2 linked regions of the Caenorhabditis elegans genome follow. The protein of the gene in region 1 purifies or fractionates together with the protein of each later gene. This does not show direct contact. Each region holds a gene or a part of one and is shown on either strand. Other genes may lie near its edges.

Region 1 (7,293 bases):
TTTGCTAATCGAACAACTGTCGTTTTTGTTAAAACTCTATTTTTGTCAATAAACAAGTCTACCAGAGGCTAAAATAGAAGTTACGAATACATAATTGAATATTCGTCCAAAAGCCCTCCCAAATCTATCTCACTCACCTCCGTTCAAAACACAATAAAGAAACATGAGAATTCCCCATAGAATACGAGATTTTTGCACCTTTTCCTTATTTTTTATGAATATCATCTTGCAGCATCTAACCAGAAAATCTTCAACCACTTCATCTACGGGCTCTCTACATGTTGATAAAAAGAAACACCTTTTTCGAAAAGATTCCGAAGTCAAGATGGAAGCGATTTTCAAAGAATTGTTCTCTCCTGACGCCAAAATTGTAGACCATTTTGATGGGGAAATGTTGATGATGTAAGCTTTCAAAAAATTATAACCGTGTTAAATAAGAAGATTTTTGAAAAATCGCGTTTATTAAAAAATAACATTCCGGAAGTATTTTTAAAATGACGTATTTAAAGAATAATTTTCAAATGTTTATGAAAATCTTCAAACATATGCGAGGAATTCAACAATCTGAGCTCTACTTATGGTATTCGATGTACATTGCCTATGTATTTCAATTTTAGCCAAACTCTGCTCCAAATTGCGTAGACTTATATACCGTTCATGCTTGACCTGCGCAATTTTTTTTTATTTCTTCCTCTCTTCTTTGAAAATGTTTACAGTATGTAGAAAATAAACCTAAACTCTTCTTGAAAACAAGTACTTCATTCTGTTCATATCCCGTTTCATTGTCTTATTATGAAAAATATGATGTTCATACTTATTATCTTCAGCCCTGGCATTGAACTTGAAGATTCCAAAAATGAAGATTCCCTGTTGATTTCGAATCATGATAGATTCAAACTTCGTCGTCAAACTTCATTAGTACCAAAAAATGAAGTAAAAAAGAATGCATCTCCTCAACCTCGAGTCCGTGTAATTACTCGAAAATCGCCATCTCCGTTACGTAAATTGTCAACTCCAACGCAAAGAAAGCGGGTAAGAAGTTGTGGAAAACAGGAAATTAGGGAAATTCAACACTATCTGATGTTATTTCTTTTTGTTTTCTTTTCGAAATTAATTGAACCAAATGCACGTAGAGAGGGGAAGTTCAAAGCACATTTCTTTTGTTTCAGTCATCCTCCTCGAAAGCCCCTCTTCCAAAATTGAGTGCTCCACCAAGTCTAAAGGTACAATAGATCAAATTAATGGAATTGAAAAAGAACGGTTTCAGCCAAACTTTGTGACGGTAGCCGATGAATCGTTGACTGCAGCGTATTTGCGAAAGAATCGTAAGCTTAGAAGACCATGATGAAGAGTTAATCTAGAAGTTTCAGCAATTCCGTTGAGAAGAGGAGTGTCAATTCCACAGAAGTGATTGGAAATTTCCTACTCTAAAATTGTCAATCAAGATAATTTATAACCTGTTACAATGTAACCTAAATTATTCAATAACTAATAATTTGTAAGTAAATAACATATTATAAATATATTTATTGCGAAGTTAACAAAAATCGAATTTCCTCTATTAGACTTGCACCCGACCATTTTACTTTGACAGTCCATATCTCACTCAGTTCAATCAAAATATTTCATAACATTGAAAATTGCAAAACTAATTTTTCTATAGTTGCTCCTAATATAATGAGAAACTGGATAAAAGAATGTGATGATGTAAGTTTTCAATGAATTATGGGATATTGTTCGACCTCTTAAAAAAAGTCACCAGTGATGATGTGAAATATTTATAGACTGACGCTACTCTACCTTTAACAAAATTTTAGTTAAATGTTTGTTATCCTCCAGTGAAATTTGTGACTAAAAAATCTAAAATTTTGGTAGGTATTTTACAATCCATAAAAAATATGTGACTGCAACGTCATAGAGTAAAACTAGAGCTTAACAATATTAAAACAACAAATCACACAGATCTTCATTGTCATCTCCTCGTTGCTTCCTCTTCTTGTTCCTGACGTCAATATAAGAATCAGGTGTCAAAACAACAAGAAGAAAGGTAAGGTCAAATCAGATCAATAATATTGGCTCTTCCATCCGACGACATGTGTCAGCTGCTCAACAATTTCTCCGTCTTCGTCGTCTTCGTCGTCTCACTCGATTCTCTATTCATCTTGTAGCATTCGTGAGGATCCCCCTAGGTTGTCTCATTATTCATCTCACATCACTTATGAACTATTACCTATTCTCCCTTTGTTTAATACTTCTGTGTTCAATTGTCAAAACAAGCCCAGTAGGACATGATGGAACAGAGGATGATAATCTAGAATCCAGAAGATCTGAAGATGTAACGACGACTCATCCGACGTTCACAGGTTCGAGCCAACAAGGTCCATATTGTAGAACATTAGATGTAGACCAATAGATAAATGTCATAATCATCATTGTCGTCTTCACACGAACATCTTCTTTTTCCTCTTTCTTTTTGGTCTCATTTCTCATTCATGAACAATGATGTGAGAATGTGATGTTTTGAAAATAACAATCGGGTTTTTAAATGGAATTTCCAATTTTCCTAGGATCGCGTGAGCCAAGTTTTTGCAAGACGTGTTGAGAATGAGAAGTATCAGCAAAAAAACCAATATCTTATTTAGAATTCTTCCAAAACAATGGAATGATGAGAGGTCCGGGTATGTGGAAATTTTTAAGGAAGCTCTATTTTATGAACTAAAGTGGTTTTTGCCTCAACTTTCGTTGCAAATTGGTGCAAGGTTGGCAAAAAAATTGGATAAAAATTTTTACATCGATTATAAACATTGGAAAAAGAAAATAATTTGTTAAAAAAGAAATTTTTTAATTTCTTGCAAAATAATTTCAATTGTGATTTTTCTTTATTTTTATAGAATTTCAGAGAATTGAATCTTTGGTTTCAAATATATTTTCCACGTGTACTTTACCGGTCTACTATGTGACCTAGAAAAAGTAAACAACTCGGTCAACGATTTATTCTGGATTTACGACATCCCTTTATCGAACTTAATGAGAATGATCCAAAAAAATTTCCAAATATTTATGACGATTTTAGATGAAAAAAATTGTTCTTTAAAGGTATAATTCATTGAAACGTTGCAAAAAAGTTTCAAAAAAATTTGCTTCCTCTCGAAAAATGGGGAACTCAGTTTTTTCTACCATAATATTGACTCTGCAAAAAAATTTTTTGAACCTATTGTTCAAATTTTAAAACTGGTTGTATTATTCTTACTCGAACATTTTATAGGTTCAGATTTACAGAAAGTCTCGAGGTTTCCCAAGAAACCAATTTTTGAAAATTGGGCAAATTACCAAATTTTTTCCTGACATATCTGTATGAGTCATAAAACGTCAAGAATACACATTTCCCTTCCACTCACTCACTTTTCGAAACTTTATCCATTTTCAATAACAACAACTCTGATGCTCGACATGTTCCCTGTGCTCATATCACGTGCACTACCGATTGCTCAGTTGATTTCTCTCATACACATATATCTCTTTCTTCGATTTGAAGAAGAAAACAACATAATCAGAAATAAATTTTTTTTTGAGAAAATAATGTCCTTGGAATCGTTTTTTGTGTGTCTAGGAGGCTCTGGAGTGAGAGGAAAACATGTGGAAATTCAGGCAAATACTCTGACCCCAAAATCATTGACTACCTGTTCTGATTGCCTTCCTGTTCTCATTGCCTACTTGTTGCTCGTTGACTACCTTTTCTCATTGCCTACTCTTTCTCATTGCCTACCCTTTGCTCATTGTCTACTCGTTTTCTTCATCAGTCAAGAGGCACGTACAAGGACCGTATTCCAAGAATACATCAAAGGTACATCTACTCAATTTGTTCATTCATTCAAAGGGTATACATATTTACAATCTTTCAATCTGTACACAACATTTCGGGCAACAATTAGTAGTAGCTGAGTCATGTTTTAATTTATATTAATTTTGATAGGACACGCAAAGGCAGGGCAACAGTCATTATTCATCAACATTAATAGCAACAATAGCAACAAAAAACAACAATTGAAAACTTGAAAAAAAGTGGCAAAGAACGTAAAAACAATAACAATGAAATTTGACATAAGAAATTCATTCGGAGTCGGAGTCAATCACTCGTTTTCTGCTTTTGAGCATATAGGAACATGACGCCGTAGTATCAGACGTGTCAGACAAGGATGCACTGGAGTTAATAGTGGAAATAAAAACTATTGAATTAGAGAGAAAAAATATTTCTGATCATTTTGTTAGTTGGACATTTGTTTTCCAGATGTGTATTTTTTGAGATACGTCAGTTTGAAAATACTCATTTCAGAGAGTTTTGGAGGTTATTTCATTTTTAGATCGAAAGCCACTATTAACTCCAGTGCATCCTTGTCTGACACGTCTGATACTACGGCGTCATGTTCCTATATGCTCAAAAGCAGAAAACGAGTGATTGACTCCGACTCCGCATGTTTCTTATGCCAAATTTCATTGTTATTGATTTTACGTTCTATGCCACTTTTTTTCAAATTTTTAATTGTTGTTTTTTGTTGCTATTGTTGCTATTAATATTGATGAATGTTTTAATGAATGTTGCCCTGCCTTTGCGTGTCCTATCAAAATTAATATAAATTAAAACATGACTCAGCTACTACTAATTGTTGCCCGAAATGTTGTGTACAGATTGAAAGATTGTAATTATGTATACCCTTTGAATGAATGAACAAATTGAGTAGATGTACCTTTGATGTGTTCTTGGAATACGGTCCTTGTACGCGCCTCTTGACTGATGAAGAAAACGAGTAGACAATGACCAAATGGTAGGCAATGAGAAAGAGTAGGCAATGAGAAAAGGTAGTCAATGATTTTGGAGTCAATGAGTATTTGCCGGAAATTCAAGCAACAACACAATATTAGTTAAGTGAAGTATTTTCAGTTCAACGATTAGATGCTCCGATTGAAAGAATTGAGATACGATTAATTGATGATAACACAACACATTCAGCACCTGAGGTCACTGTGAGTCCTGTAAGAGAAGTGGAGAGAGTTAAAGCTGAAAATGATGGAAATCAAGAATTGGTCTCTACGGAACAGGTAATAACACAATTATTAGAATATAAAGTTTATTATGTAGTTCTACAGCCTATGGGAAATTTCCATTTAGGTTTATTCTCAAAAATTGAGATTAACAGCGCAACCAAGAAAAACAAATAGAAGAAATAAAAACAACTGTTCAATTTTGATGGTGTCGAGACCCGCTATCGTATTCTTATGTCACAAATTGCACAATAAATAGTGCAAAAACCACTTTCCCATTATTTCTTTAAACTTATGAAACGCCATTTATTTCTCACTACTACAGCAAATTATAGTTTGTCAAAAAGTGATCGATTACTGTATTAAAATTTCGCAATTATGTACATGAAACGCGTGCTTAAAGGCACATGGACATGGATTCGTATCGGTCTCACAGCGAAAATTTGTTTAAAAGTTTGTACTGTCATCGACTTTTTTCTCGTGGCGAGACCCATCCGACCAACTCTGTGCGCTTCTCGTTTGGCAAATGACGGAATTACCATATGTTGAGTTCTCGGCGGCTCGTAAGTTTTAAATTAAACATTTAAACCCTCAAATTGTCTAAGATTTTTCATTTGCAACAAAATCTCAAAATGACTTTTAGACTGCTGAGCTTGTCCATGAACCAGATCAACATCCATCACCAGCACCTACAGAACCATTAACCGCTAACGATGATATGTACAAAAAAGTTGAATATGTAGTTCAACCGACTTCAAATGAACTTACACCTACTACGGATAGATCATCTGAGCCAATTGTCGTTGGTGAAGATCCTTCCTACTACTCAACAACACCGTCTGATCAGCAAGCTAGTGCAGAGGTGATATTTTCTAGAGATTTGAAATCAATGATAAATAGAAGTTTAAAATTCAGGCAAAAGCATGGATTTCAGTGTCTACAACAGTTCCGAAGTTTGAGGGAGACATTGATGAAGATGATCTACCCCCGCCACCAGCTACTGAGGATACGGAGGTAGATTTTCCGTTCTGAGAAGAAATCTAAAATTGGACATTTTCAGAATGAAGAACCTGAGGAGGAATGTTTGGCAAATAAAGAAAAATTGAGTGATGAAGTTATTGAAAAACTTCAAGCAGAAACTACAATGTACTATAGACTTGTCCGTCAACGAAATGAGCAACAAAAAGAGTATTGTGGAGGTGGAGAAGCCAGAGATACATCTTCCGATATGTTCAGAAGATGTAGTAATTGGAGAGCCGAGAAACTTGTCTACTATTACAAATTGATGCGTAAAACCTATTGCCAAGTTGACAATTGGCCAAATTCGCCGAAAATCAAGAAGACATATGGAGAATATCTGAATTTGTTTGGCACTTTTTATGCTTTCCAAAAGTAGATTTGTATTTTTTGATTTTCTCTGAAACGGGTATCCTTATCAATATTCCTGTACACGATCTTATTCGTCTGTTTATCGATAAACTGTCATACAAATCGTCATATTAATCAAATGCTATGAAAAATCAAAAGCATTTTCTCTCTGGCTCTTCCAGTGTTGGTAGTAGTTTGTTAATCAAGCATTGACGATAGATTTTTCTGTTTTACATTTGATTTGTCAATTTTTGAATGAAATGTTTATATAAACTTTGCAACTAACAACAATTTCTACACCAGTTCTTTAAAGAAATCGGCAAGGATCTTCTATATTGGCTTTTCTCGACTTTCCGTGACATTTTGAAGATTTTGAAGAAAATCGTCTCGTCCCATGTGCTTATCGGCTTCTACCCTCAATTCTACCAATTGTTGAATGTGCTCATTGCTGAGTTGCTCCATTTTATCCGAGTCTAAATCCTGAAAAAAACAAAAATTTTTAAGAACCAATAATAAGACAAGATAACTAACTTTTCCAATGTTTCCTTTTCGAATTCCAGCGCTCGATAATTGTTTGGACAGCATCACACAATAATTCTTAAAAACAATTAATTTTTTTAACGTAATTTCACCATCGACATACCGTCCACTCTGTGATGAATGGCTTCACAAACTCCGGTTTTGCCGTTTTGTGTCTTTTGAATTCATCTTTCACATATGTATCGCCCATGAGCCGAGCTTGAGCCGGCAATCCATAATGAAGTCTGAAAATCAGGAATTTGTTTTAGATAAAAAGATACTTTAACGAGCGGAAATTTACCTAAGAATGCTTTTGTACAAATACAATGGAAATCTTTCGGGATTAATGGCCCTTGCAGCTTGTTG
Region 2 (3,212 bases), on another chromosome or scaffold:
GGCCAATAGTTCCGATATTAATCGTGGCTTGTCGAGAGATAACCTGAAAAATAACTCTTTAACTCAAAAATTATTGATTTTCAGTACCTCCTCGGTGAGTGGGTTCAAATTATCGACTCCGACTTTGTCCAAATCTTGTTTCGCAAGCCAGCTCTGGCACTTGTCCTTTTCAGCTTCTAAATTAAGAAAGAATTATGAAATTTTCTTGAAACCGAAAAGCTAACACTTACCAGAAGCCATATTTTTTGTTTTTATGATCCCAGTTGAGTCGATTATTGATCTTTAAAAAATTATCATTATAATTAATCGAAATTACTCAAAATTAATTGAAAATCCATAAAGATTGCATAGAAAACAGGCTAAAATTGGATAAAATTAGAAATGGGTTAAAGGCGCATGGGAGTGGTTGGAAGGGTCTCGATGCGATTTCGTGTGTCGATTTACGAGCTCGAATTTTATGTTTTGCTTTTTAGCGCGAACCAGGCAAAAATCGTTGAATTAACGGACATCTGTATATTTTTCGTATGGAAATATTAGCGAAATTGCTTCTTAAAATTATTTATACGGCATTATAAACCATGTATTCAAGTAAAATGCAATAATTATTCATCATAAATCACCGAAAATCCCAAAATAACAAAAGAGTATCATAAATTAAGCAGAAATGGAGTCCACAAGCGTCTTCGCATTGACGAATTCTGCGGCTTCCTCCGGATAATTCCCAGAAGCAATCGATTCACGGAGGTCGGCCACAGCTTTTTGGAGACGTGATTGAGAATCGCGGACCATGTTGGCAGTTTCCTGAAAATATTTTAATTTCGTATACTCGTAAATCGGATTATTTCAAAAAACCTTAACAATATCCTTCGACTTCTTGGCAACATACTCCTCGTCCTCGTTGGTGGCGTCGGCGGCGAGTTGGGCAGCCTTCTGCTCCTCCTTCACAACTTGCTTCTCGTAATAGGCGACTTCTTTGACGAGACGTTGCACGGTTCCCGTCTTGATTCGGAGCGCTTTCAGCTGATCGGCTTGGGTCGACATGGCGGCGGGAGGTTCTGCAATGTGAATTTTTGAAACAGAGAACGAGATTGTGAGCTTGCTTTTATGGACTAAAAATCGATAGAAAAAGGCGCAATACCACCGAAAATGTTGTGCTCAATGAGCCGAAAAAGGACGGGAAAGCGAGCAGATGGTCAGACACGCTCGGCGATTTCGAAATAAATACAAATTGACCGCTGTCTGTTGGGCGACACAGGTTCCCGCCAAAAAATCGACTGTTCAAATGATTTCGCAATACATACATAGAGAACGAACAAGAAGGATCAATGAAAAATTCTATGAATTTGAAATTAGGTACTGATGGAACGGCAGATGCACCCATGGGGGTACTGCATAAATAATAAAATTTTAAAACAAGACATAAATTTAAAAATTCAGATTTAAAAAAAACAAACAAAAAATAGCAAAATCTAGAAATTTAAAAAAATTCATCAAATATTAAAAATCTATTGCAATCTGGTCAGTTTGCAAATATACATTGGTCCAAAGTTAGAGGGTAGAAACGGCACGACGAGGGCTCCCAGTGGAGTGTCATGGAAACGATAGAGGCCTGATGACGTCATATGGGATACGAGTTGATGTAGGGATTCCTCGACGGTCACGATTCCAAAGTCATTGCGTACGACGGCTACAGCGTTCTCGACGACTGCCTGAAGAAATTTGAATTAGCATTTTTGAGCTGTTATTTCGACAAAAAACCCCGGTCTCGACACGCCAGAAGTACTGTAGCCGCGAAAGTACGCAATCACCGGATCCTACGAAAAAATGCATGCAGAATTTCGGGATTTTTTTTGAGGGAAAATGTTGGGATCGGGCGAGAGTTGAAGCCAGAATCAAATTTTTAAACGGAAATCGTCAAAATTTGAAATTTTGATTTGATTTTCTCAACTGTTTAGTGAAAATTCGAGATTTATAGTGTTAAAAGAAACGATTTCTTCACATTTTAAACTTTTGTGAAACTATCAGAGCAAAATTTGAGCATTTCGGGGTACTGTAGCGGTGAAAATACGCAAACACGGCAGGGAGCGCAAAAAAAAATGCAGAATGCGATTTTTTTTAAACTAAAATTGGAAAATAGCCGAATATTGTTTTGAAAAATTGAGTTTTTCACGTTTTTTGTAAAATTTTCATCGATTTTTCATCAATTTTCGAATTTTTTACAAATCGAGAAAAAACTATATTTGTCATCATTTTTCAAGGAGTTTTTCAAAAATCGATGCAACAAAAAATTTGGAACTACAGTACTCCTTAAAGGCGCATATATTTTCCTATTTAACAAAAAAATTTGTCGTGCCAAGACCAGGTTCGAGCGAAAACCTCGTTTTGGCTTGGTGAGAGTGTGCACGTCGAGTAGACAACCGAGCCACCAACTTTTACAGATCGCAGTGCATTTCTGAAAGGAAAAATAATTTGAGGGAAAGCCGAGGATCCTTACACAAGAATCTTGGTCTGAAGAACCGGAAGATCAAGCCTCTGCTGAGTGGATCCTGTGCTGAAAAGGTTTCCGTCGTCGGTGCTGACTGATAGACGATCCGTCGAGCACGGAACATCGACGAGCACTTTATCGTAGGCCTCGAATTCATCCCAAGTTTTGACGTCGGACGCGTCCTTGCGTTTTAGGACGAATTTGTCGATTGTCTGCAGGAAAATTTTTGGAGTTTTAGCTAATTTTGGAGGGATTTATATTTAAAAAAAAGAATTTTCGACATTTTTTAATCGAAAAAAAAAACTCTAATTTCAAAAAATTGTTTTATTTTCTGATTTTCCTCAAAAGAGCAGAAAAAAGTTGAAATAATTCGTATTTAATTCAATTTTCTCACTGAAAACCCAATTTTTGAGGTGTTTAAATTGGAAAAATTCGAAATTTAAATCTTGAGAAAAATTCACATTTCTGAATGAATTTTCAGGTGTTTTTAACGAAAATCGTCATTTTTTCAAGTAAATTCTAGAAAATCGAGTGAAAATTTCAAATGTTGGTTTTTTTAAAGAAGATTTCAAACTATGGAAAAAAGTTAAGTGAAATTTCGAGAAAATTCTAGTAATTTAAGCAAATATTCGAAAATTTTGGAAATTTTTGAGCCATTTTTTGGTGAATTTTCGGATTTTAAATTTTAAAAAAATTCCGAATTTTAAAGAATTTTTTTGCGAAAAAA

What was found.
Region 2: the proteins of T10G3.1 (region 1) and tbca-1 fractionate together in Caenorhabditis elegans (co-fractionation; one large-scale study listed by BioGRID). This does not show direct contact.

Annotation. Positions count from the first base shown.
Region 1 is NC_003283.11:13,468,451-13,475,743, reverse strand, and holds T10G3.1 (uncharacterized protein), read left to right. Parts: upstream 1-2,064; 5' UTR 2,065-2,218; coding exon 2,219-2,363; intron 2,364-4,939; coding exon 4,940-5,097; intron 5,098-5,683; coding exon 5,684-5,902; intron 5,903-5,955; coding exon 5,956-6,054; intron 6,055-6,100; coding exon 6,101-6,436; 3' UTR 6,437-6,678; downstream 6,679-7,293. Other genes in the region: T10G3.8 (Cyclin-dependent kinase inhibitor), read left to right, coding at 233-402, 828-1,032, 1,170-1,223, 1,268-1,325, 1,371-1,411; F25H9.7 (Succinate dehydrogenase assembly factor 3), read right to left, coding at 6,739-6,888, 6,940-7,005, 7,052-7,172, 7,229-7,293.
Region 2 is NC_003279.8:2,310,339-2,313,550, reverse strand, and holds tbca-1 (Tubulin-specific chaperone A), read right to left. Parts: upstream 1,056-3,212; 5' UTR 1,042-1,055; coding exon 853-1,041; intron 802-852; coding exon 655-801; 3' UTR 594-654; downstream 1-593. Other genes in the region: eif-2gamma (protein-synthesizing GTPase), read right to left, coding at 1-43, 88-176, 231-240; 5-cytosine rRNA methyltransferase nsun-4, read right to left, coding at 1,506-1,709, 2,377-2,452, 2,495-2,697.